2 linked regions of the Caenorhabditis elegans genome follow. The protein of the gene in region 1 purifies or fractionates together with the protein of each later gene. This does not show direct contact. Each region holds a gene or a part of one and is shown on either strand. Other genes may lie near its edges.

Region 1 (12,758 bases):
AGGTGATAAAATACTGAAAAAAAAACAAAATTACCAAAAATTAAAAAATAACTTTTTTTGAATTTTTGAAAAAAAAATTTCAAAGAAAGTTTTTTTAAAGCTGATTTCCTATCGACTTTATTGATTTCTCTATTTTTCAGCATCAAAAACACCAATTATGCCCATAATCCTCTAATTTTTGGATTTTGGGTCCCGCCACGAGGGGTACTGTAGTACCCGAATAATGCCCAAATTTTGAACAATTAGGGTAGTATAGCCGATATGGGTGTCATTTTGAAGCTCCCAGTGAGCTGAAGGTGATAAAATAGCCAAAATTTAAAAAAATTAAAAATTAAAATTTTTTTTTGAATTTTTGAAAAAAAAATTTCAAAAAATTTTTTTTTTCGAAAATTTTTAATTTCAAAATTTTCTCAATATTTATTGATTTATGATTAAAGTATTTATTTTTGATCGATTTTTCACGTTTTCAGCTCCAAAATAACCCCAATAATGCTCAGAACCCTCTAGTTTTTGGATTTTGGGTCCCTCCACGAGTGGTACTGTAGGCACCCGAAATATTCTAAAATTTTGAAAAATGACGGAAACTAGCCGATATGGGTGTTATTTTGAAGCTCTCAGAGAGCTGAAGGCGATAAAATATCAAAAAACGAACAAAAATTTGAATTTGAAATTTTTCGAATTTTTGAAAAAAATTCAAAAAATGTGTTTTTCGAAAACGTTAAATTTTGAAATTTTCTCAAAATTATCGATTTCAGATAATTTTTGTTTGATTTATCTCATTTTTCAGCTTTTTAGCTTCAAAATAACATCCATTATGCCCATAGTCCTCTAATTTCCGATTTTTGGGTCCCGCTACGAAGGGTACTGTAGGTACTCGAAGAATGCCCAAATTTTGAAAAATTAGGGTAGTATAGCCGATATGGGTGTCATTTTAAAGCTCTCAGTGAGCTGAAAGTGATAAAGTAACGAAAATTAACAAAAATTAAAAATTAAGTTTTTTTTGAATTTTTGAAAAAAAAATTTTTTTCGAAAATTTCAAATTTACCTCAAAATCCTTCCCGCATCAAAATTATCCGGTGGTGGAGCAGTAGCCGTTGGCTGTGAAGCCGCCGGAGCGGCTACAGTAACCCCTGGGGTTACTGTAGCAGCTCTTGGCGCCGTGCCAAAAAGGTCGTCGAGGGTGGAGGCGCCTGCGGGTCTCCGTGGAGCCGACGCCGCACCTGATGCTCCAAGCCCAGAGCCCGTGCTTGTGCCAAATAGGTCGCTGAGAGCATTTGTAGAACGACCAGCCTGAATTTAGGAAATTTTGAAAAATAATTTTTTTTCGAAATTTTGAAAAAAATTTTTTTTTTGAAAAATGTCTTATTTTTGGAATGTTACTCTTCGATAGGCCATTTATGATATTACCAGCTTTCAAATAACCCCAATATTGCTTAGAATCCCGTAATTTTGATGTTTAGGGTCCCGCCACGAGGATACTGTAGGCACCCAAAAGTTGATCCAAAAATGAAAATTAACGGGGTATAGGCGATATGGGTGTCATTTTAAAGCTTAAGGTAAGATAAAAACGTTGAAATACAGATTTTTAGAAAAATTTGGGTCAAGAAAAAAAATAAAAAAATTTTCAAAAAACATTTTTTTTTTTAAACTTACCGCTCTCATTTCAGATGTATTTTCTTCCCGGTTTGTTGCAAAATTTACAGTTTTAGGTGCCTGCGGTTCCTGAAAATCAGTCTTATAGCATCATCCAAAATTCAGGCCAAAATAGGCCAAAAGCCTTTTTTTTTTGGATTTTTCGCAGTTTTTTCCCAAAAAGAAGTCACAAAATCACCTTATCCAAGTCAGAGTCCAATAAAAAATCTAGTCCACTACTTTTCGGCCGCGAATTTTTCGAATTTCCCGGCAAATTGGGGGGAGGTGGTGGTGCTGGCTGGGGTGGTTCGGTGTCTAAATTCTGAATAAAATATCGAATTTTTTTTTGAAAATATGCTGAAAACGCACATCTAATAAATCTCCCCACTCATCGTCTGACATACACGAGAAATCTGGAAAATTTTTTTTGTTTTTGAAAAAAACATTTTTTTTCGAAAAAATGCCAAAAAAAAATTTTTCAAAAAACGTTTCTAAAACTAATTTTAACTAACAAAAAATCATTTTTTTCAAGGTTTTGGTCAAAAAATTTGCAAAAAACCGCAAAATCGGACATAATTTCCAGGAAAATCGAAAATTAGCTCTAAAAAATTCTAAAAATTTCCAAAACTCACTAAACTTTTCCAAAACTTTTTAACCAACCTATTTCTAATACCTAAAACCTAAAAATTTCAGTAAAAACATAATAAAATGCGGGAAATCGAGAATAAAGGGTCTAAGCGGGACGAAGGGGGTGAAGCTTAAAGAAGGGGGTTGCCATAGTAACCGACTGGGGCAGAAGCTTCGAGAGTTTGCAGAGGAAGAAAGAAGCTGGAGACGGAAATAATAGGGAAATGTATAGCAGACCTCGCTGATAACAAATGATTACCCGGGGAACCTAGGGGGCATAGGGGAAAGGGGGGTAAACAAGGAAAACTCAGTGGAAATTTGAAAAACAACGACTTGCGGAACAAAAATTGGCAGATTTTGCGATAAAATTCGCTTTTAACCGTGAATTTTGAGTTATTACACAAAAAAGTTGGAAAATAAAATTTTTGCTCAAATGGCGCAGTAGGTCACAGAGATGGCTGGCACCCAGAAGGTCACGGGTTCGACCCCCAGCGTAGCCATTTTTTTTTCAATTGCGTTTCACACATTTAATTATTTTTTGAAAGTGTGCAAGTAACATTTTGCAGTTTTTACTAAGATCTTGAATCTGTCAAAGGGTTTTTCGAATTTTACCGGTTTTTTGGATAGTTCGACCCAAAATTTCAATATTTTGACGCCAGAAACTTTGAAAAATGCCCTAAAATAATTCTTCTGGCAATAAAAGATAAAAAATAAAATTTCGACCAAGTGGCGCAGTCGGTAACAGGGATGGCTATGACCCAGAAGGCCACGGGTTCGACCCCCCGCTAGAGTCAAAATTTTTTTTAAACTCTAAAGCTAAAGACAACGCAGTTAAAAACTATCATGACTTGGAACATGCCTATATTAGGCCTGAATTCGGTTCATTTCAGCCTATTTCGGCCCAAATATTTAAGTTGCTCAAACCTAGCCAATATGGGTGTTAAAACTATCCAAATTTCACGGAGAATCTGAATTTTTAAGTTACAACTCACAAAAAATTAGGGAAAATTGGTCACCGCTATTGGCTCTATGCCATACATGGCCCAAATTGAGTCCAAAACTGCTCTGTGTGTCCGGATGTCCTTATCAGCTGATATCATCAGTTTTCCCCCGCATATCGGTCACTACTAATTTGCGAGTAGCCAGCCGCCGTCTCTGCGTCTCTCATCGATCTTATCATCAACAAAATCGTAAATTGCCCGTTTTATTTGGACGAATCGGCATCTACCGTAACCAACAAATAGACTATGCTTTAAAATTGTTTGGTATGAGTGAAAAAGAAAAATATTGACCCTAGCAGGGGGTCGAACCCGTGACCTTCTGGGTGGTAGTCATCTGTGTTACCCACTGCGCCATTCGTGCAAAATTGGGATTTTGACTTTTTTTTTGCTCTGACCTTAAAACTTTAGGTTTATATGTTATTTTTATTTTTTCAGTTAGGAAACTATGGATTTTAGACTGATATTTAACAAATTAGAGTTGAAAATCTGTATTTAAAAGTTAAGCTGTGTTCTATGACATTTAAATTGATGAATCCTAGCAAATTTAACAAGAAAAAAAATTGACCCCAACGGGGGGTCGAACCTGTGACCTTCTGGGTGGTAACCATCCGTGTTACCCACTGCGCCATTCGTGAAAAATTCCAATTTTGATTTTTTTTCGGCTCTAAACTTCAACTTGTTGATTTTAGATGCAATTTTTTTAACTTTACAGTTTGTCGGTTCACACGAAAATTCAACAGGCTGGGCTAAAATTGACAAAATTTTAGCTGAAAATCGTTGTTGGCGTATGGCAAAGTTGCAAGTAAGTAAATCTTAGTGAGTTGCCTCTGCAAAAATTATCGTCCACAGCGGGGCTCGAACCCGATACCCTCCGATCCAAATCCATTCCTGTAACCTACTGAGCCACTTGTGCAAAATTCAATTTTGCAACTTTTTGCAGCCAAGCCCATTTTTCACCGTTTTTTCTCAATTTTTAGTCAATTTTTAGCATTCGACACAATCTAAACCCTCAATGTATATTGGCCAAGCGGTGGTGGACTGCTGGTCGGAGACGAGTGAGAGAGACGGGCCTCATGTGTCTGTGAGTGTGCGTGAGTGAGTGAGTTTGTGAGTGTGTGTTGAGCGCGCAAAAAAGAACACATTGGCCGTCGTAGTGCGGTAAAAGAGACGGAGAAGTTGCGGGGAATTGTTTGGGTGGTGAGGGGTTCGGGTGGGGCGGGGAGGGCGAGTCGATCAGCCGGGCCTCGCTTTCTCTGGCCGCTTCGGCATCTCTGATGTCTCTCCGTCTCCGGCACTCCCTCCCAGCTGTGTTGTCCGCCTATCTCTTTTGCCCCATCCATAGAGACACACTCACCAGCGCCCCTCTGCATACCCTCTCAGCTGACACACTAGAAAGGTCTGTTATTAGTAGTTGGCATATTCGCCTTTATTTTGCGGAAACTCGGCAATCCCCCCGGAGGAGCTTGGCTCGGCAATCGGCTCGCCAATCATGGATGATGAAGAGGAGATCCCTGTAAAGTACAAGCTCGACGGAGAAACCGAATGGCAGGTCAAGAAGGAGGCGGTGATGAAGCTCGGCAAGACTGAGTGGTAAGCTAGGGGGTATATATAGGTATATCTCGGAAATTATCAGAGCAATCAAAAAATTGTTAACTGAGGAATTGTAGAACTAGTTTTCAGCTACATTTTTGTAGTTGACAACTTTTTTGTATTACGTTTGGTTTTAGAGTTACAGCGTTTTGAAGTCTAGGGTCGGGAAAATCAATGGTGCGCAAAGGGGGAGGTAGTATAGGGTATATCTCAAAGATTAATAGCGGAATCAAAAAATTGTCAACTGAGAAATTATAGAGCTAGTTTTAAGCTACATTGTTGTAGTTGACAACTTTTTTGTAGGACGCTTGGTTTTAGAGTTACAGCGTTTTGAAGTCTAGGGTCGGGAAAATCAATGGCGCGCAAAAGGGGGGGGGGGGGTGTAGCATAGGGTATATCTCAACGCCTATAGGAAATATCAAAAAATTGCCAACAGTAAACTTGTAGAGCTAGTTTGCAGCTACATTCTGTTAGTTGAAAATTTATTTCTAGGTGCAGTGGATTTAGAGTTACGGCTCTTTCAATATCGGAGCCTACAAAATCAATGACTGCGGAGGGCAATGGTGCGCGAAAAGGGGGAGGGGGGTGTGCTAGAGTGTATCTTAATGACTATCAGTGATATTAAAAATTGTCAACTAAAGAATTGTAGAGCTAGTTTTCAGCTATATTTTGTACGTTGACAACTTTTTTCTAGGACACTTGGTTTTTGAGTTACGGCGTTTTGAAAGTTAGGGTCTAAAAATTAGGGGGCTCTGGCCAACAGGCCGTTTAAATCGGGATTTGTAGTTTTCAGGTCTTTTATCTATTTTCATAAGCCAATTGAAGACTGTAAAAAATTTTTGAGCCTAGCGGGGGGTCGAACCTACGACCCCTAGATTCATAGCCATCCGTCTTAGCCACTGAGCCACTTGCATAACTCCGTTATTTTGAAGTTTTTCAGCCCGAGACTAACTTTTTTGAATTGTCCTGGAAATTTGAGAAAATATGACACCCATATTGACTAGTTTCTGGTAAAATGGATTTTCAGGCCGTATCTAGGCCGAATTAGGCCAAATCTAGGCCATACCCAATTATTGCCGATTCAAGAGCAGTTTAGCACAAAAATAAAGTAAATGTTAAATTCATAATAGCCTATTTAAAATTGATGAAAAACTCGGACCCGTTTCGGCCCATTTTGGCCTATTCCGGCCCAAAATCTCAACTTTTCAGATTATAGCCGATATGGGGGACTTATTATCGGAAATTTTACGTAGAATCTAAATTTTTTAGTGCCAATACCTGAAAATTGAATTTTCAGGGCGATCCGTCTGAAACTGTGCAAGCAAGGCGAGAATCACAGCTACTACTCTCTCCACGTGGCAGCACTCACTCCAAACCAAGTGTCTCGGCTGCAAATAAAATGCACACATCAGGTCGAGCCGCCAGTCGTTGACTGGGAGCAGGAGTACACATTTGGAGGAGCTCACACCGTATTGGTCAATCCTTGCCTGTTGAAGATTGCCGAACAGAAGGTAAGGGGCTCGAACTAAGGCTCCAGCTGAGAGATGGATAGAGATACGGGAAAATTGTCAACTATGAACTTGTAGAGAAAGATGTAAGGTACATTTTGTTTGTTGATAACTTTTTTGTAGCATGTACCATTATTGAGATATACCATGTTGAAGTTGAAAATCAAAATTTGTACCTAGTACCTAGGACCACCAACTTCAAACGTCTGTAACTCCTTCAGTATCAGAAATATAAAAATTTTGTCAACTACCATAATAACCAGCTCATCAAGCTCTACAACTTTTCAGTTGACAATTTCCTTCTACCTCCTCAACTTGCATAGATATACGACGTTTCCCTCTTCCTATTCTCTGCCCCCAAAAGCTTAGAAAAGCTTGTGCGCGCATCTCATGAGCGCCGAGACAGTGTATAAGACGAAGAGACGCAGAAAACCGAAAAATACTCATGTCTAGGCGTATGTGTGTGTGTAAATGTCATGTGCGCTCTCTCCTCGCTTCCAAAACCCGACAAAAACATCGATTCGGCCGTCTCCAAGCGAAAGGGGAAAATGGAAGTGTTGGGGGGGACTGTAATAGACTTATAGAACATTTACGGTGATTTCAAAATTTAAAAATATAACCATTATGTAGAGGAAGTTTTGAGCTACAAATTGTTAGTTGGAAAATTTTTGCTAAACCTAAAAGCTTTGAAGTTACAGGAGCTTGAAGCCTTCTTCCAAATACTTCAGATTTTTCATCCTAAAATTCTGAAAACTCCATAGTTTTAACTTTCCAATGTGAAAAGTGTGTTATATACACTCAGAAAAAATTTTGTAACCCTATCCGGGCTCGAACCACCGACCTCTAGGCCAAAACCATAGCTGTTAGCCACTGAGCCAATTATCCAACTTTTTTATTTTTAGAGTTATCGATTTGTAGTTAAAATATTTGAATTCTCCGTAAAATTTGCAAAGTTTTGACACCCATATTGACTATATTCCGATGAATTTGGGTTTTGGGCCGAAATAAGCCGAAATAGGCCTGAATTAGGCCGAAAATCAAGTTTTGCAATACTTTCGGGCTTTAATATTTTGAATAATCAGTGACTGGTTAGCTACCATTGCTAGACACCGTGAGGGAATTTTCGGCCTGAATCGGCCTAATTCGGCTTAATTCGGCCCAAATCGGCCCAAATTTTCAATGTTTCAGAATGTAGTCAATATGGGTGTCAAAACTTTGCAAATTTTACGTGGAGTTCGAATTTTTAATGGAAAAATGACTGAAAGTTTAAAAAAACCTTACCCTACCTAAACAGTATAAAAAAAATTCCAAAAAAAAATCCAAAAAATTTTTTTTTTGCAGGAAAAGATGACGTTTGTCGTAGAGCTCAAATTGCTAAATGACTCTGAGAAAAAGCCAGAAAAACCGTTCGAATGCGAAAAGGAGATCAATTTCCCCGGCGGCGACTTCATTCTGAAATCTGGAAACCGGAAGCTGAAAATCAACTCGGCGGTATGTTTGAGTGGCAAAAAATTGACATAAATCATCATGACACATTCCATCATATAACGTTGCAACTAATTAGAGATTCGAATCGGAGATAACACTCAAATTTTTAGAAAATTTTATTCGGGTTACTGTAGCTTTTTTCTAAAGTTTTGTTTTTGGGCCATAAATTGGCCCAAATATTTTTTTAAAATAAACTTGATGTGAAAATTTGAAATCAACATAAAATTTGGATATGATTCAACACCCAAATTGTAAAATCCAAAATTTTGAGGTTTGGGCCAATTTTTTGGGCCTAATCGGCCCATATCTTGGTTCAAAACATTTTTGCGCAACTTTCGATCTAATTTTCGAAATCAGCGCAAAAAATTAGATATGATCTGACCCCTATATCAAATAAATCTAAAATCGAAATTTTGGCCTAATTTTCGGGCCTACTGTGGCCTTGTCGGCCCAAAAAGGCTTTCGTTCACAATTTTAGTCTCAACTTTCAAAATCAACCAGAAATAAAATGCTGATTTAACATTCATTTCACAAAGTTCGATTTTTTTAGTTTCAGGCCTAAATTAGGCCTAAAATAGGCCTAACACTGGGCCTTAAGCTTGATCTAAGATTTTTGGATTCCAGACTAAATGAGGTTCTTGCAAAAGTATATTTCAAACTCCAATTTTTCAGCTTCGAGCCTAAAAAATCAAAATTGAAAAAAAAACCAAGTAGCTCAGTGGCTAACATGCTCGCCTACTAATCTGAAGACCCTGGTTCGACCCCCGCTAGGCTCAAAAATTTTTTTCTATTTGTTATTTCACATTAAAACGAACAAATTTCAGTACGTGAAGCGTCGGTGTCCATTGCTGGGCTATCTCTTCGAGAACGAGGAGACCAAGGAGTATGACGTTGGTGACGTGGAATTTGAAGATCTTGTGGACATTTTTGGCATTTTTCAGAACAGATGGGAGTTGGAAGGTAAGAAACTTATCAAAAACTTTAAAAAAAATCCAAAAAATCAAAAAAAAAAATTTTCCAATTTTTTTTACTTTCAAAAAAATCCAAAATTTTTTTCAGCCGACCGTATGATCCATTTAATCCCAATTGCTCGAAAATTCGGCTTCGACATCTGGGGAAAATCTTTGAACCGTGAATTCAGCCAACTTATGCACCGCCTGGACCCCGTGGAAATTGTGGCGGAGCCCAACGAGGAACCCGTGAAATTTGAGTTCAACACAACTTTGAAATGGGCTATTGATGATTTCGAGTTGATCGGGCCGTCAACACTGCCGAAAAATCAGAATTTGATGGTCACATGGGAGGAGCAGAATCGGAATTGGTGAGGGGGCCGAGAAATTCAAATTTTTTTGGAAAATTTGGGTCTCAACTTTTTTGTTTTCAAATTTGGTACTTTTTTATTCAAAAATTTGAATTCTCCACAACATTTCTGAAATAATGACACCCATATTGACTATGTTCTGTCAAAGTGGAATTTTCGGGCCGAAATAGGCCGAAATAGTCCAGAATAGGCCGAAAATCAAAATACCAGTATTTTGATTTAATACTTGAAAAAATTCCGAAAATATCAAAACCCATATTGACTATGTAATTTGAAATTAGAATTTTCGGACCGAAATAGGCCAGAATAGGCCAAATTAGGCCAAAGTAGGCCACATTGAGCAAAAATCGAATTTTGCAGTTCTCTGCGTTTTCGGGCAATAAAATTTTTGGAAATTATCAAGCAACACGAAAAATATAGTTTTTTTTTATTTTGGCTTAATTTCGGACTATTTCGGCACACAATTTTGTTTTTGGATGTCTCTTTTTCGGAAATTTTGCTGAAAGTCAAAATTTTATTTTATTTGCTAATAACACATGTTGAAAAATTCAAAAAATAGTTTATTTCCAAAATTTCATTTTTTGGCCTAATTTTGGCCTATTTCGGCCCAAATTAAAAATTTTTTGATTTTTCCAGGATATAGCTAATATAAGTGTCAAAAATTTGCAAATTTTTGCGTAAATTTCAAAATTTTCAGTGTCAAAGTCCCACACCTGCAAATTTGGTCTTGTTTCCGAAAATTTTCAATTTTCGGCTTATTTTTGGCCTATTTCGGCCCAAATTTCGACTTTTACCAAATAGGGTCAATATGGGTGTCAAAACTTTGCAAATTTTGCGTAGAATCCAAATTTTTAGTGTAAAACTCCTAAAGTCTATTCAAAGTTTTTTACAGGACTTTTTTTGCGAAAAAATAAAAAAAATAAAAAAAAATTTTTTTTTGCAAAAAAAATTTTTTTTTGCGAAATTCCAATTTTTCCAGCATTATCTACACCTACACCCAGGAGATCCTAGGCGAGAAGTACGTCTCCCTGGGCTTCCAAATGAGCCGCCCATCCACCTCCGCCACCACCAGCGACGACGACGACGACGAGGAGGATGTGAATGTGATCGACGACGAGTCGGTCTACTCGGAAGATCAACGTGTCAAGTACTTCGACATCGACATTCACGTCATCAATGAGAACGGGCGCCGCTTACACAGTGACCGGATCCAAAGGATCCGCGACGACGAGTATACCATCGTGGGGACACCGATCTTCGCCTACTTCGACCACCTCTGCCAATACCTCGACGAAGATGGGGCCCTACTGATGGAGATCAACTGGATCGAGAATCATGACATGGTATCTGATGACGAGGAGGATGACGACCTAGACTTCAGCAAATTGCAGAAGCCGCGGCTGAAAATGCCAGGCTTGACCAATTGCTTCCTCCGCTGTGAAGGTCAGCTGATCGAGGTGAACCGTGAATTTCTGGCTCACAGCTCTCAGTACTTTTCGGGGCTCTTTTCGAAAAACTTCCGTGAAGGCTACGAGCGTACCGTTAACCTAACCTACGAGCATCTGCCTACCTTGAAGCTTGGGCTCCAGGTGCTGTACAATCGCCGGCTCCCGCTGAATGATGTGGAAATCTCGCGGGTGCTGGATTTTGCGGATCGGATTTGTGCGAAAAGTGTTATGGAGAGCCTGCAGAGGCAACTGTGGAGCTGTAAGAATATGAGCTTTGGAGATAAGAAATGGTTGGCTGAGGAGTTTATGCTCACGGATTTGAAGGTTGGTTTGGGCTTTTGGCGAAAAATTGACTAAAATTATGAATTTCCCGCCAAAAATTGACTGAAAATTCGAATTTTCCGCTGAAAATTAAGTGAAAATTTGAAATTCCCGCCAAAAATTGACTAAAAATTTGAAATTCCCGCCAAAAATTGACTAAAAATTTGAATTTCCCGCCAAAAATTGACTGAAAATTCGAATTTTCCGCTGAAAATTAAGTGAAAATTTGAAATTCCCGCCAAAAATTGACTGAAAATTCGAATTTTCCGCTGAAAATTAAGTGAAAATTTGAAACTCCCGCCAAAAATTGACTGAAAATTTGAATTTTTTCTGAAATTTCCAAAAAAAAAAATTATTACACATTCGTCAAAATCAGTGGTTCAAATTTTTGACGAGTGCGTAATAATAAAATTTTTTAATTTTTTTTCCAATATTGTAATAATTTATTTTTTTAACTAAAATTTGAAAATATTGTGTTAAAAGTGGGCGGAGCCTAATCTACAGTACCCTAGTATGAAAATGGTATTATTTAGCCAAACGTATAATATTTTCAAAAAAAAAAATTCAATTTTTTTCAGAATAAAAATGGGCGGAGCCTAAATTCATTTTGAATTTGAATTTGGGGTACTGTATAATAGGCTCCGCCCGCTTTTTTCCAGTTTTTTAAAGCCAATTTTTGGCGGGAAATTCAAATTTTCAATCAATTTTTGGCGGGAAATTCAAATTTTCAATCAATTTTTGGCGGGAAATTTGAATTTGCAGTCAACTTTTGGCGGGAAATTCAAATTTTCAATCAATTTTTGGCGGGAAATTCAAATTTTCAATCAATTTTTGGCGGGAAATTCAAATTTTCAGTCAATTTTTTTGGCGGGAAACTCAAATTTCAACTGAAACATGTAAATTTTCAGATAAAATGCACAATGGAGCAAAACGAGGAGATGCTCCGCGTCACCCGCGTCACCCGTAAACGCCCACGTCCAGTCGATTTCGAGGATGACGTCATCGAGCCGCCCCCGCAACCGCGGGTACCGGTGATTAGTAGAAGACGTTTGACACGTTCATCCGGCTCACCGAGAACTAATGTTTTGTAAAGAAAAATTTTTTTCGAAAAATTTCGAAAAATTCAAAAAATTCCCAAAAACACATTTTTTCCCTTAGTGCTTCTTTAAATTCCCACTTTACCAATTCCCACGATCCCCCGTTTTTCCCCGCCCCCAAAATGTGTTCTCCTCTCGAAAAAAATTTGTTATTACACATTCGCCAAAAATTTTCAGTGAAAAATTTTTACTAATGTATAATAAAAAATTTTTTCTTGAAATTCTCGATTTTTCTCATCACACTTTCTCAAGGTATCCATTCCCTGTATATTTTCAAGGCCACGCCCCTTTCTTTAAGCTCCGCCCACTTTTTTCCAGTTTTTTCACTGTCGTAGATTTTTTTCTATGTAAAAATGTAACTTTTTCTGCCTCTGTTTCTAGTTTTTTTTTCAAATTTTTCAAATTTTTTCAATGTCCCCCCACCCTGCCACAAATCAGGCTCCGCCCCCTTTGATAAATAATAGGCACCGCCCCTTTTCAGCCTTTCCTTAGGGTTCTGCTTCTTTGTGTACATAAAAAAATTGTAAATAAATTCTGAAAAATATTTATTTCAGAAAATTTTATTTGAAAAAAATTATTTCTTTCCGAATCCGAATCCTCCGCGCCCTCCGAATTGGTTTCCACCTCTTCCATTGAATTGGCTTCCCCCGCGGCCGCCGAATTGGTTACCTCCACGGCCTCCGAACTGAGATTGCTGGCCGAATCCTCCGCGGTCTGAAGGATGA
Region 2 (13,065 bases), on another chromosome or scaffold:
AGTCATTCAAATCGGCTAATTTTCGGCTAATTCGGCTAATTCGGAAAATATTCATTTGGTTAAGCTATTTTTGTCCATTCTGTTAATTCAGGTTTTGGGTTAATTTTTTCACTGTTATTGAGCAAATTCAGGGATGAACGACTGTTCAAATAGGAAAAAATCATACAAATTCACCACATTTTGTTTTCCAAAAAAATATGTTAGTTGAATTAGCCGAAATAGCCGATCGGCGAATTCGGCTAACATCGGCCAAAATCGGCAAACGGATAACTACGTATTAGCCGAACTGCCAAAAAGTCGGCTAACGGATAATTCGGCTAATATTAGCCGAGTTAGCCGAATTAGCCGATCGGCGAAAATACGGCTAAATCGGCTATTATCCGCACACCCCTGATCGACAATACAACACAGTGTAAAAACATTTGGCCGTATAAATTTGTATACGTATAACTTGTGTTTCAATGAGTACATACTGAAACAAAATACTGGAATTGTTATAAGATGTGGCTATGAGAAGAAAGCAATGGTGAATGTGAAACTATTCGGTCCCCACACAGAAATTAAAGTTCTGTTCCAAGTGTCATTGATTGTGTAATATTCTTGAACTGTCAAATAAAATATATTTTCACATATTTTTGTATAATGAATAATTTATTCATAATTTATCCTGTTGAGGCTCGCCGAGCAGTTCACGATTCCGAGGAGCTACTGTGTGCATTTTTCACTGGAAAATTCGATTCTGAAAGCTGTTATTCCGTGAAACAATGTTTAAAACGTCCTAGAGTCCATTTATATGTATGATTCGGTGGCCGGTGGATAATTTTTTGGGGAAAATTGAACTTTTCGTAAAATTTTGAATTTTTTTTGACATAATTTGAGGCCTAGAACCATAGCTATTTTTTTTCCGATTTTTTTCCAAAGTTATTTTCAAAATTATAAATAATTTCATTAATATGAGTAGATGATCGCTATAAATCCCCCCGATTTCGCAATAATTTCGAGATTTTTTATCCAATAAATTTTCTGATTTTTGGCACGAACATTTTTTTTTTCGAAACACTTTTTTATTAATGAAAATGGACAACAAGAACAACGGAAAATGAATGAAAATCAACAAAAAAATTATTTGGAATCACTTGGTCACTTGTGTAGTATCACGCATTTGAATGGAGCGGAGCTGGCGTTTCTTCGTCTTTTTCAGCTTGTGGATTTTCGTGATTTTCTGAAAGAATAATGTAGTTTGTAGTTGATATAAATGTTTTTTATCAAGAACTTTCTTATACTTTCCGAAGAAAAAGCAGCTCCTGAACGTTTTTTAACCGCTAAAATGGTTGGTTGAGGCTCAGCTGACTTTGTAGTTTGTAGTCTCAGCCTCAACCAAGTCTTTTGTCGGTTTTTATTTGCAAAATTTTGATAATTTATTCAGAGAAACTCCTTAATTCAAGCTAAATATTCAATTTACAAGGAATTTCACGGAAAAAAAACTCGAAAAATCATGATTTTTCAGTGTTTTCAAGCCAGAAAAGTTTGGTTGAGGCTTAGTCAACTTTGTAGTTTATAGCCTAAGCCTCACCCTCTCTTTTTTGCGGTTTTTTTGTAAAATTTTGATAATTTTTACCGAGAAATTCCTTAATTCAAGCTAAATATCTAATTTCCAACGGAACTCACGAGAAAAACTCGAAAAATCATGATTTTTCAGCGTTTTCCGATGCTTTTTACGCCATGGAAAGGTTGGTTGAGGCTAACTTATTTTGTAGTTTGTAGTCTAAGCCTCAACCACAAATTATAGACAGTTTGAGCAGGTTTTCCATGAATTTTTGCAGGAAAAATCTTCAAATTGTGCGTTATAGTAATAAATTTTTGATTTATTGTTGGTTTTTCCAGAATAAAAACTCGAAAAATCATGATTTTTCAGTGTTTTCAAGCCAGAAAAGTTTGGTTGAGGCTTAGTCAACTTTGTAGTTTATAGCCTAAGCCTCACCCTCTCTTTTTTGCGGTTTTTTTGTAAAATTTTGATAATTTTTACCGAGAAATTCCTTAATTCAAGCTAAATATCTAATTTCCAACGGAACTCACGAGAAAAACTCGAAAAATCATGATTTTTCAGCGTTTTCCGATGCTTTTTACGCCATGGAAAGGTTGGTTGAGGCTAACTTATTTTGTAGTTTGTAGTCTAAGCCTCAACCAAAAATTATAGACAATTTGAGCAGGTTTTCAATGAATTTTTGCAGGAAAAAACTTCAAATTATGCGTTGTAATAATACTATTTTGATTTATAATTGGTTTTTCAAAAAAAAAACGCAAAAAATCATGATTTTTCAGTGTTTTCAAGCCAAAAAAGTTTGGTTGAGGCTCAGCCAGCCTTGTAGTTTGTAGTCTGAGCTTCAACTAAGACTAGATCGGTTTTTCATGTATTTTTTGGTAGTTTTTATAGAACAATCCTTCAAAATATTCAATTTTCAAGGAATTTCACGAAAAAAAACACAAAAAATCATGATTTTTCAGCGTTATCCGATGATTTTTAGGTCATTGAAGGTTGGTTGAGGATCGGCCGGTTTTGTAGTTTGTAGTCTGAGCCTCAACCAATCCGGCAAGCTTTTTTAACGAATTTTTAGGATTTATAGGATTTAACAAGCGATTTAAGCTTCGTAAATTGGCATTTTCGAATAGAAACGAATTGGTTGAGGCTCAGAAATTCGTGTAGTTTGTAGCCTACTATTCCAGCTACGAACCTGCACAATTTCAGCCTTTCTCTCGTTTTCCAGCCGTCGCTTCTCCTGTTCCACTTTTCTTTCCTTCTTTTCTTGTCGTTCTTGTACTTGTTTCTCTCGAATATTGTCCTGAACCCTTTTGACCATATCTTTTTTCGCTTTCAACTCCATTTTCTTGTCCCACGTGGATTTTAGGGTCTTCACCTTTTTGATTTCAGAGTGCCTGCAAATTTTTTGGAGTTTTCAGGGGGATTATTCAATAAAAAACGAACTTTTTCTCCTGTTTCGTCTTCCACCAACGATTTGACTTGCATGTGTCGTTCATGACGAGAAGATTTGCGCCAGTTGACATTTTTTACCTGGAAAATCAATATTTAAAATGTTTTAAAGGGCCAAAAATGCAATTTCAGCCAGGAATATCACGAAAAAATGCGAAATTTGGACAAAAAACAATGCGTTTTCACTTTTTGACGTTTTCTACTTTTTCAGACCCAAATTGTCATTATTTTCGGGGGTTTTAGGGTTTAAAATACGCAGAATTTTAATTTTTAATTTTTTTAAAGTGAAAAATAACTAAAAACGATCTAAAAATCAAGTTAAAGATGAAAAATTAAAGAAAAAAGTATTGAATTTCGTTGAGAAATGTCTTTGGCCAGTGGGGCGCGTTTGCATTATTTTTGGGCGCTCAATTTTTTTTTTGTTTTTTAATCCAATTTTCTTGATTTTCAGCGTTTTTCCGGGTATTTTAACTCATTTTTTGCCGAAAATTCAGATTTTTGTTTTAAAATTTCACATTTCAGGCCCAAAATGCCTACACAATTCATTAGGAACCGGTCTGCGTTCCCACAAGGAACTAACAATGATATTGATGACTTCCAGTATCAAAATGGTGAGTTTTTGGATTTTAAATCGTTAAAATACTTCATTCGGGTTATAAAAATCTAGAAAAATACAAAAAGCCGAATTTTTCAGATTTTTCATCATCTTCCCACCAGCTTCCTTCAACAGCGTCAGGGTATTCCGAGCACAGTTCACACCAAAATTTCCAGAATCATTCGCCACCACCGGGAAAAGCGACAACTGATCCGCTGGCCGGAGCACTCCTTGGGCTCTCCGAGTAAGGATTACACTACAAACTACACAGCCTCAACCAAAAAAAAAGAAAAAAATTATCAAATTATTGATGAAAACTGTCAAAAAATGTGTTTTAAAAACTAGTTTTTTTGTCGAAATTGCAAAAAAATATGCTTTTTCGATATAATTCCCTCATTCTCGGATTTGGTTGAGGCTCAGACTACAAACTACAACATTTCTAGCCTCAACCATTTTGAAAATGCTCGAAATTTCGCCAAAATAACTGAGAAATTTGAATTTTCAACTTAATATTGCTGGTTTTAGTTGTTTTAGCGAAAAAATGTGGAAATTATTTTTAAAGAATCAATGATTTTTATGTTAAATTTGTAGTTTCTTGGGAAAAACTCAAATAAATCGCCGTTTTTATCGAATTTTAGTACAAATTTCATGAAAATTATAATTTTTCAGCTGAAAATCGACTAAAATTGAGAATTTTCGAAGAAATGGTCTATTTTTGGTTAAAAATGGCTGAAAAATTCGTTGAGGCTCACACTAAAAACTACACTTCTCGCTGAGCCTCACCCAATCTTCAAATCGAGATTTCAATAAATTTTTACGAATTTAAGTTTTTACAAATGCAGTTTTCAATTAAAAATTCAGATTTTATGTGGTCAATTTCGTATTTTCTCCCTTTAAATCACACAAGCTCCCCAAAAAAACCGAAAAATCTGATTTGGTTGAGGCTCAGACTACAAACTACAACATTTCTAGCCTCAACCATTTTGAAAATGCTCGAAATTTCGCCAAAATAACTGAGAAATTTGAATTTTCAATTTAATATTGCTGGTTTTAGTTGTTTTATATATAATATTAAGGTTATGGAAATTTTAATGATTTTTTATTTGAAATTTGTTGAAATTTGGTGTTTCTGGGCAAAAACCTTTTAAAAAATCGCCATTCTAAGCGAATTATAGCGCGAAGTTGTGATTTTCCAGCTGAAAATCGACGAAAATCGCTAATTTTTAAAGAAAAATGTATATTTTTGGCTTAAAAATGGCTGCAAAATCCGTTAAAGCTCATACTACAAACTACACTTCTCGCTGAGCCTCACCCAATCTCGAAATCGAGATTTCAATCAATTTTACGAATTTAAATTTAAAGAAACGCAGTTTTCAATTAAAAATTTTGATTTTATGCTGTCATTTTCGTATTTTCTCCCTTTAAATTGCGTATTTTTTGGCAAAAAATGGCTGAAAAGTTCGTTGAGGTCACACTACAAACTACAACTTTCGCTGAGCCTCACCCAATCTCAAAATCGCCATTTTTATCGAATTTTAGTACAAATTTCGTGAAAATTGTAATTTTTCGGCTAAAAATCGACTAAAATTGAGAATTTTCGAGGAAAAAAAAAGGCGAAAATTGACTATTTTTGGCTTAAAAATGGCTGCAAAATCCGTTGAGGCTCACACTACAAACTACACTTCTCGCTGAGCCTCACCCAAATGAAAAAAACGAGTTTAAATGTTTTTTGCGCTTAAATTAATCGATTTTAAAGGATTTTGTTTTCAATTTTCCGCCTAAAATACCACTACAAACTACACAATTTTCAGCGTCATCACAAAATCGCTAATTTCCCATCCATGCGGTGTGCTCCGCCGTCAATGTCAAGTTCATCAGTTCGCTGGATCTCTCCACCTGACACCAGTCACACTGATTCCTGTAATCTGTAATTCTGTCGCTAAACAAGGAATTCAGACATTCTGGAAAGGAGCAATCGGCTCAAGTGTGCTCTGGGGCCTCACGAATGTTACGGAAATTGTGCTCGGCGATCTTATGGGGTTGCCACGTACTTTTGTGGTTAATGGAAGTGCTGAAAAGTATTGGAAACATATTGTTCTGAAGGGGTAACGGAATTAAGACGAAAAAAAAAATTAAAAATTGATAATTTTCAGAGTAACATTTGTAACAATGACTCCATTCTACATCTCATCATTCATTGAAACTGTTCGAGTAGGCTACAAACTACAAACTACAAAAGCTCTCAGCCTCAACAATCCAATTTTCAGAGCGAATCCGGAATTGGTGGTGAAGACAATAAAATTCTGGATGTTCTTGTGAAGGGTGTGGATCGAATGCGATATTTTTTGACTTCGGGACGAGATCCGTCCAGGAGATTCTCGATTATTCATTTGGCTATTCCAACTGCGGGATTTCAGTGAGTTTTTGCTGGAAAATCACGAAAAATGACCAAATTTAGTGAAAAAATACGCGAAAATCAGGTCAGAATATGAAAAATTGGTTGAGGCTCAGACTACAAACTACAATTTTTGTTTAGCCTCAACCAAGGAAAAATATGTGAAAATTACTGATTTTTCCTGGTTTTTAGTGTTTTTTAGTGAAAACTCATCGATTTCAGTGGGAAAATTTTAAAAAATGTCTTCATGTTTCCCGGATTCTCCAACGAAAAATTGGAAATTTAAGGAAATTTAACTTGGTGAGGCTGAGAACGAAGTGTAGTTTGTAGTCTCTGGGCCTCAACTAAATTTCGAACAGTTTTTTAAAGATAAAAAGCCGGAAAACACATTTTTGTTCAAAAAAACTAGTTTTTCAAAGAAAAATTCGTTCGAAAAAGTTGAAAAACGGCTGAAAACTCGCAAAAATCGAAGATAATTTGTTGAGGCTCCAAAATTTGTAGTTTGTAGTCTCTGAGCCTTAACCAATTCATGAATTGTGCATCGAAAAATCGAATAAATCCCAGTTTTCAACAACAAAAATTGAAAAAATTTTTTTTTTTTAGAGTTGGTCACTACATGCTCCAAACGGCCCTTTACCATCAATTCTTCCGAATGGCGAAACGATATGTAAACCGAAAATCGCCGGCGGAAAAGACGACTTATCACGATTTCCTGCCCCAAATGTTCGCTCAAACATCATCAATGGTGTTAACTGATTTGATACTTTATCCATTTGAAACAATTGTTCATCGAATGTATATTCAAGGAACACGAACACTTATTGATAATATGGATACAGGATTATCAGCAGTTTCGATGACTGTCAAATATTCCGGTTATTTTGATTGTGTTCGACAAGTTCTTGAAACGGAAGGTTTTTGGGCACTTTATGCGGTACATTTTTCAGGATTTCTTTTGAGAAATGTGGCAAAAAATAAGGAAAAATCAATGAAATTTACGAATTTTTCCTTGAGTGAGGCTCAGCAAGAATTGTAGTTTGTAGTCTGATGCTCAACCATTATTCTAGTGGGATTTTACGGAAAATTTTTTTTTTCAGGACTTCTTTATAAAAATGTGGAATTTATTGAGAAAATACACATATTGAGTTGATTTTCATCATAAAAACCTTAAAAATAACTTTTTTTTTATCAAAAAAAATTGGTTGAGGCTGTGGAAAAGTTGTAGTTTGTAGTGTGAGCCTCTACCAAAATAAAAATGTTTTGAGAGATTTTACAACAAAAAAAAACGATTAAAAATTACGATTTTTCAGAGAATTGTATTACTTTTACGCACAGGTAAATTGGTGAGGCTCAGCCAACTTTGTAGTTTGTAGTCTCCGAGCCTCAACCACGATTATTGCCAACTTATACGATTTTAAATAATTTTTCTATCAATTTTTACAGATAAATCGTATAATTTAAGATGAATTAATAGTTGAAAATAATCGATTTCTGTGTGATTTCACTGAAAAAACGCCAAAAATAATGATTTTTCAGCGTTTCCCATTGGTTGAGGCTCAGCGAATTTTGTAGTTTGTAGTGTGAGCCTCAACCAATCAAAAGAATCGAGATTTTGATGTTATGAATGTTGATTTTTCTTTAGAATTTTTTTTTCATTTTTAGCATTTTAAAACATTCCAAAATTAAACATTTTGGCAAAAATGTAAATTTTATTCATTTTCGGTTGAGCCTATAAAAAGTCGTAGTTTGTAGTGTGAGCCTCAACCATTTTTTCCGAAAAATTGGCAGAAAAAAAAAAAGATTTTTGTCTGGAAATTGATAAAGTTAGAAGATAATCGTAAAAATAACCGAGACTTCTCGCGAAACTGTAGTTTGTAGTCGCGGCTGAACAAATTGGTTGAGGCTCAGCCGACTTTGTAGTTTGTAGTCTCCGAGCCTCAACCACGATTATTGCTAATTTATACGATTTTTTCTATAATTTTTTACAGATTTAAGTTAAATTAATAGTTTAAAATAATCTATTTCTGTTTGATTTCACTGAAAAAACGCCAAAAATAATGATTTTTCAGCGTTTCCCATTGGTTGAGGCTCAGCGAATTTTGTAGTTTGTAGTGTGAGCCTCACCCAAACCAGAAATTGAAGAATTTATGCTATCTATTTAGATTTTTCTTCACTTTTTTAAGAAATCTAGACGAAAATTTAGAAAATTTAATTTTTTTCCAGTTTTGGAATTAAAAATTTTTAAAAAATCGATTCAGATTTGGTTGAGGCCATAAAAAATTGTAGTTTGTAGTCTCTGAGCCTCAACCATTTTTTTAAATTGATAAATTTAGTGAACAATTTCGCAAAACTTTTCTTTTTTTCTGATTTTTCAATGATTTTCATTAATTTTTCAGTCTATTTTTTCTCAATTTCCAGGGTGTCGGCGCAGTTCTTCTCGAATATTCCCTTCACCAAGGCCTCCAACAACTGGTTCGAGCGTGTTTCGATCGCGGATCCGAGCTTCTTCGTAAAGCGACACAAGGTCATCCAGTAGTACAATCCTCCCAGATTACACCACCAATTTCCGCAAAATCCAGCTTCAACGGGCCAATTTCCAATAGTTTCCCGTCGGCTGGAGCCGCTCTTTTATCGCCAATGAGCACACCGAGAAAGTTTGTCAAAAAATCGGAAAATTTTCATTAAAAATTGATTTTTTTTTCAGACATTCAACACCGCCAAAGGACCCCACAGAATTCCCGACTTTCGGGGAAACTGTGAGCCAAATTGGGTCACCTTATCAGATGCCTGATAGGCCTAATGTTTTCGGAAGCCCGCCGAATAGGTAGGCAATGAAATTTTGAATAAAAAAATGTTTTTTGCCCGAAAAATCGATAAATTCTAAGAAAATCCAATTTCAATCATTTCCAGAACTCGTGCCACACATGATTCGACCCAAAGCCTGCCGCCGCTCCAACTGAACATTCGCCCGTCGTCTGGAGACCCATTTTCGGGTTGAAAATTTCAATTTCATAATTTAAATATTCCTCTTGATTGATTTTCGCCTAATTTTCCGAGTTTTTTTTAGTTTATTTTACATTTATTTTCCTATTTAAATAGGAATATTTCTGTGTGTTTATGCCGCCCGATTTCCCCCAGCTAGTCTACGGTAAGCGATTGTACGCAAACACCGAGCGCGGTGTTTGCGTACTCTGCCATTTATTTTTTCGATGAAATTTTTGCATTTTGAAACTCGTTTTTCGGGTGATTTTAATTGATTTTTAGCTCGTTTTTCTTCGTATTTTAGTTTATATTTTCTTTTTCAAGTGTTAAGGAACCTTTTAACCATGCGTGACACCTATTTTTCCCGAGAAAATGTGAATTTAAGGCATTTTTAGGTCTAGATGTTCCACGTCACTTTATTTCTAGATTCAGCTAATTATTTCGCAATATTTAACGAATTTCCTCAAAGATATCCAATAAAAACCAAGCGGAAGCTTTGAAAATCGAAAAATTCACTGAAGAAAACTATTTTTGTGACTTTTTGCCCAATTTTCTCGGATTCTGGGGCTTTTAACGTTTTAAAACGTCGGAAATTTGGCAAATTTCCAAAACCCCGGGTTTTTTGTTGTAATTTTTGGAAAATATTAAAATAATTCAGCGAAAAGCCTGAAAATGCATTAAAATCCGATAGTTTTGGTGAAAAATTGCATTTTCTCTGATTTTTTTTCGAATTTTATCGTAATTATCGAGAAAAAACCATGTTTAAACGAAAAAAATGCTCGAAAAATTAGTTTTTTCTCTGTAATTTTAATTTTTTTTGAAGGTTGAGGCTCTGGCTACAAACTACAAAACTATTTGAGCCTCACTCAATGCCTAAAAGCCTGATTTTGATAGAAAAAATTGAATTTTTTGTGGTTTTTCTCGAATTTTTTAGTGAAAAACTCACTTTTCACGACGAAAATGCTCAAAAACTATCATTTCCCATGATTTTGCGGGATTGGTTGAGGCTTCGGCTACAAACTACATTACTATTTGAGCCTCAACCAACCAATTTTTAACAGTTTTCTTCAATTTTTCATGTTTTTTCTCGCATTTCCCGCAATTAACTCAACATAATATATTACAGAAAACTCTAGGAAACAATGTCCGACTGGGAAGACGACGATTTCGAGCCCGAGGTGTCGACGTTCAAGCGTGCGGAGCCAGCTCCAGAGCCCGTGAAAATCGTCGACGCACCACCGCCACCACAGAAAGCCGCTCCCGCAGCTCCGAAAACTCTGAAAGCCGCTCCAACATTCGCCATGGAATCACTTGGACGAGAACTGACGTCGGCTGAAAAAGAAGCGATACAGAAGAAAAATGATCTCGCGTTGGCTCGTGATTTGTTCGGAGATGATGATTCTGCTGAAGCCACTGACGAAGCGAAGACCTATGCGAATATCATGTCGAAAGCCGATTTCGAGTACTGGGGAGAGCGTGTCGGTGGATTTTTGGCTTCACGGAGTAAAGCATCCTGTTATGGAGATATGATTGGAAAACTTCTCACTTCCGTCACTGATGAGAGTTCGTAATTCGATTTTTTAGACGAAAATTTGGGAAAAACCGATTTTTTATTTTTTACTCCTAAAACCTCGAAAAATCCAAAAAAAATATCGAAAACTGTAAATTTTGGTGCCGAAAATCTTTGGCTGAGGCTCTCGCTACAAACTACACATTTTCGTCAGCCTCACCCATTTTCAAGATTTTTCGACTATTTTACCGGATTTGAGAGAAAAAAAAACAGTTTTCTATTGAAAATTGTGATTTTAGGTGGCAAAAATCGATGTTTCTTTAAATTGCACAATTTCCACTCTCACACACTTCAAACTACACCATTTCTAGCCTCTAAATGAGAAAAATCGTCAATTTTGCACCTGAAAACCACGAAAAACACCAAAAATTGATTGCAATCACAAAAAATTAATGAAAAATCCGATTTTCATTTTGAGTGAGGCTCAGACACTACAAACTACAACATTTCCAGCCTCAACCATTGCTTTGGTTGAGGCTGAAACGTTTGTAGTTTGTAGTCTGCGAGCCTCAACCAAAGTTGATTGCCCAATTTTCTTTTGAAAATACAAATTTTCCGTAATTCCTCATGGATTTAATTGAGAAAATCGAAAAAAAAAAAATTTTTTAAACGAAAAATCACGTTTTCAAGAAATTTGGTTGAGGCTCTATGGCTACAAACTACAAAGTTGCCTGAGCCTCAACCAATTTTCCATGGTCTAAAAAGCATCGGAAAATGATGAAAAATCATGATTTTTTGAGATTTGTTTCGTGGAATCCTCTGGAAATTGAATATTTTAAGCCTGTATAGGAATTCTCCTCAAAAACGATGAATTTTTCAGTGACACCCGCCGAAATCCTGAAAATGGTCACCTTCCTTCAACAGATCAGCGCCGCCAAGAAGACTGCCGAGAAGACGAAAGCGGTAAGTGTGTAAAAGGCTACAAACTACAATTTTTCAGGCGAAAATTCCGAAAAATTGAGCGAAAATGGAGCAAATAATGATTAATTTGGAAGAAAATACTCTTGTTTGAGGCTGAGGACTCTGTAGTTTGTAGTCATAGCCTCAATCAAGTTTAATGTTAGATTTTTTTCAGAAACCACTCAAATTTGTTGGATTTTCGCCAATTTTTTGGTATTTTTTACCGCCAAGCATGTCAAAAAAATGATCAATTACAATTGAAAATTGAAAATATTCAAATTTTTTCATTTTTCTTTGAAAAGTCACGATTTTTTTAAAAATATTCTCCATATTTTCTGCTAAAATAGCCAAAAAAATTCACTTCTCAGCGAATTTCGCAAAATTTCGAACATTCTCAAAAAATGGTTGAGGCTAGAAATATTGTAGTTTGTAGCCAGAGCCTCAACCAAATTTAAATTTAGATTTTTTCAAAATCCACGCACATTTTTTGGATTTTTGCCAATTTTTTTGGTATTTTTTACTACCAAACAGGGAAAAATGGTCAATTTTAAATAAAAATTGTCAAAAATTTCAAAATTCACGAGTTTTCATTCAAAAAATCACAATTCTTTCTCAGTTATCTAATTTCTGGTTTTTTCACCCAAATTTTTTGGGTTTTTGTTGATTTTTTTGCGAATTTTCGCAAAAAATATTCAAATTTCCTCCAAAATTCTCCAATTTTTACCAAATTTTCCCATTCCAGAAGGCCACCACCGCCGCAAAACCAGCTGCAGCTGCCAACAAAAAGAACGCGAAGGCAACGCTGAAAGTGACGAAGGGAAATGACAGCATGTACGACGATTACGGAGACGACCAAGACGATTATGATGATTATTGATTGATTTTTGTTATTTTTGTTAGTCCCCTCCCTGCGTCCCAAAATTTTTCCTGATCATTTTTGCGTCAAAAAGCACACAACATTTCTGTCTTGAACTACGGTGAACTATCTTTTTTCAATTTTTTTTTTTGGAATTTTTTTTTTTGCTCCTTGGGTTTCCGTTTTGGTTCTTTTTTTGTTCTTGTTTTTCCGCCCTCGCTTTTTCTGAATTGTACCCCCTGTTCCGTTTCTGGCAGAATGAAGAGTTCTATGTGTTAGCCAGCTCTTCGTTAGCTCTTTCCCCCCAGTTTTGTCTGAAAATTTAATACTTTTACCTCGAATTTTTGCAGATTTTTAGGGATTTTTTAGCGTTTCAGATATGTCGTCTGACACGGGTTCCGAGTATTTGGACGAAGAGATACGTGGCGATGAATTGGGGCCGTCTATAGATGATAATGGTGAGGAAATCCTGGAAAAAGTGCAGAAAATTGGATAAAAATGGCGGTGGTAGAGGCTCGAGTGTAGTTTGTAGTGTGAGCCTCAACCAAGTTTTCAGCGAAAATTCACGATTTTCAGCAGAAAAATCACAGTTTTGCGCTATAATAACACCAAATATAAGAAAAAACCATTGAGTTTTCCATATTTTTCTGCTAAAAAAGCTTTAAAATTCAACTTTCAAATTGGTTGAGGCTAGAAATGTTGTAGTTTGTAGTGTGTGAGCCTCAACCAGTTTTTCATCCATTTTTAAGGCAAAAATAGGCAATTTTACATTAAAAAT

What was found.
Region 2: the proteins of Y43F8C.3 (region 1) and eif-3.J fractionate together in Caenorhabditis elegans (co-fractionation; one large-scale study listed by BioGRID). This does not show direct contact.

Annotation. Positions count from the first base shown.
Region 1 is NC_003283.11:19,614,338-19,627,095, reverse strand, and holds Y43F8C.3 (BTB domain-containing protein), read left to right. Parts: upstream 1-4,469; 5' UTR 4,470-4,749; coding exon 4,750-4,850; intron 4,851-6,147; coding exon 6,148-6,361; intron 6,362-7,699; coding exon 7,700-7,849; intron 7,850-8,670; coding exon 8,671-8,806; intron 8,807-8,905; coding exon 8,906-9,167; intron 9,168-10,146; coding exon 10,147-10,939; intron 10,940-11,844; coding exon 11,845-12,027; 3' UTR 12,028-12,590; downstream 12,591-12,758. Other genes in the region: dyf-19 (Fas-binding factor 1 C-terminal domain-containing protein), read right to left, coding at 1,046-1,290, 1,654-1,722, 1,832-1,954, 2,002-2,034; nlp-26 (Neuropeptide-Like Protein), read right to left, coding at 12,608-12,747.
Region 2 is NC_003279.8:13,425,402-13,438,466, forward strand, and holds eif-3.J (Eukaryotic translation initiation factor 3 30 kDa subunit), read left to right. Parts: upstream 1-10,087; 5' UTR 10,088-10,103; coding exon 10,104-10,524; intron 10,525-11,351; coding exon 11,352-11,434; intron 11,435-12,173; coding exon 12,174-12,308; 3' UTR 12,309-12,565; downstream 12,566-13,065. Other genes in the region: Y40B1B.7 (Coiled-coil domain-containing protein 86), read right to left, coding at 1,133-1,222, 2,733-2,934, 2,984-3,063; slc-25A46 (Solute carrier family 25 member 46), read left to right, coding at 3,519-3,600, 3,684-3,828, 5,396-5,689, 5,738-5,795, 5,852-6,000, 6,583-6,913, 8,398-8,633, 8,684-8,803 and 1 more; spr-5 (Lysine-specific histone demethylase 1), read left to right, coding at 12,667-12,745.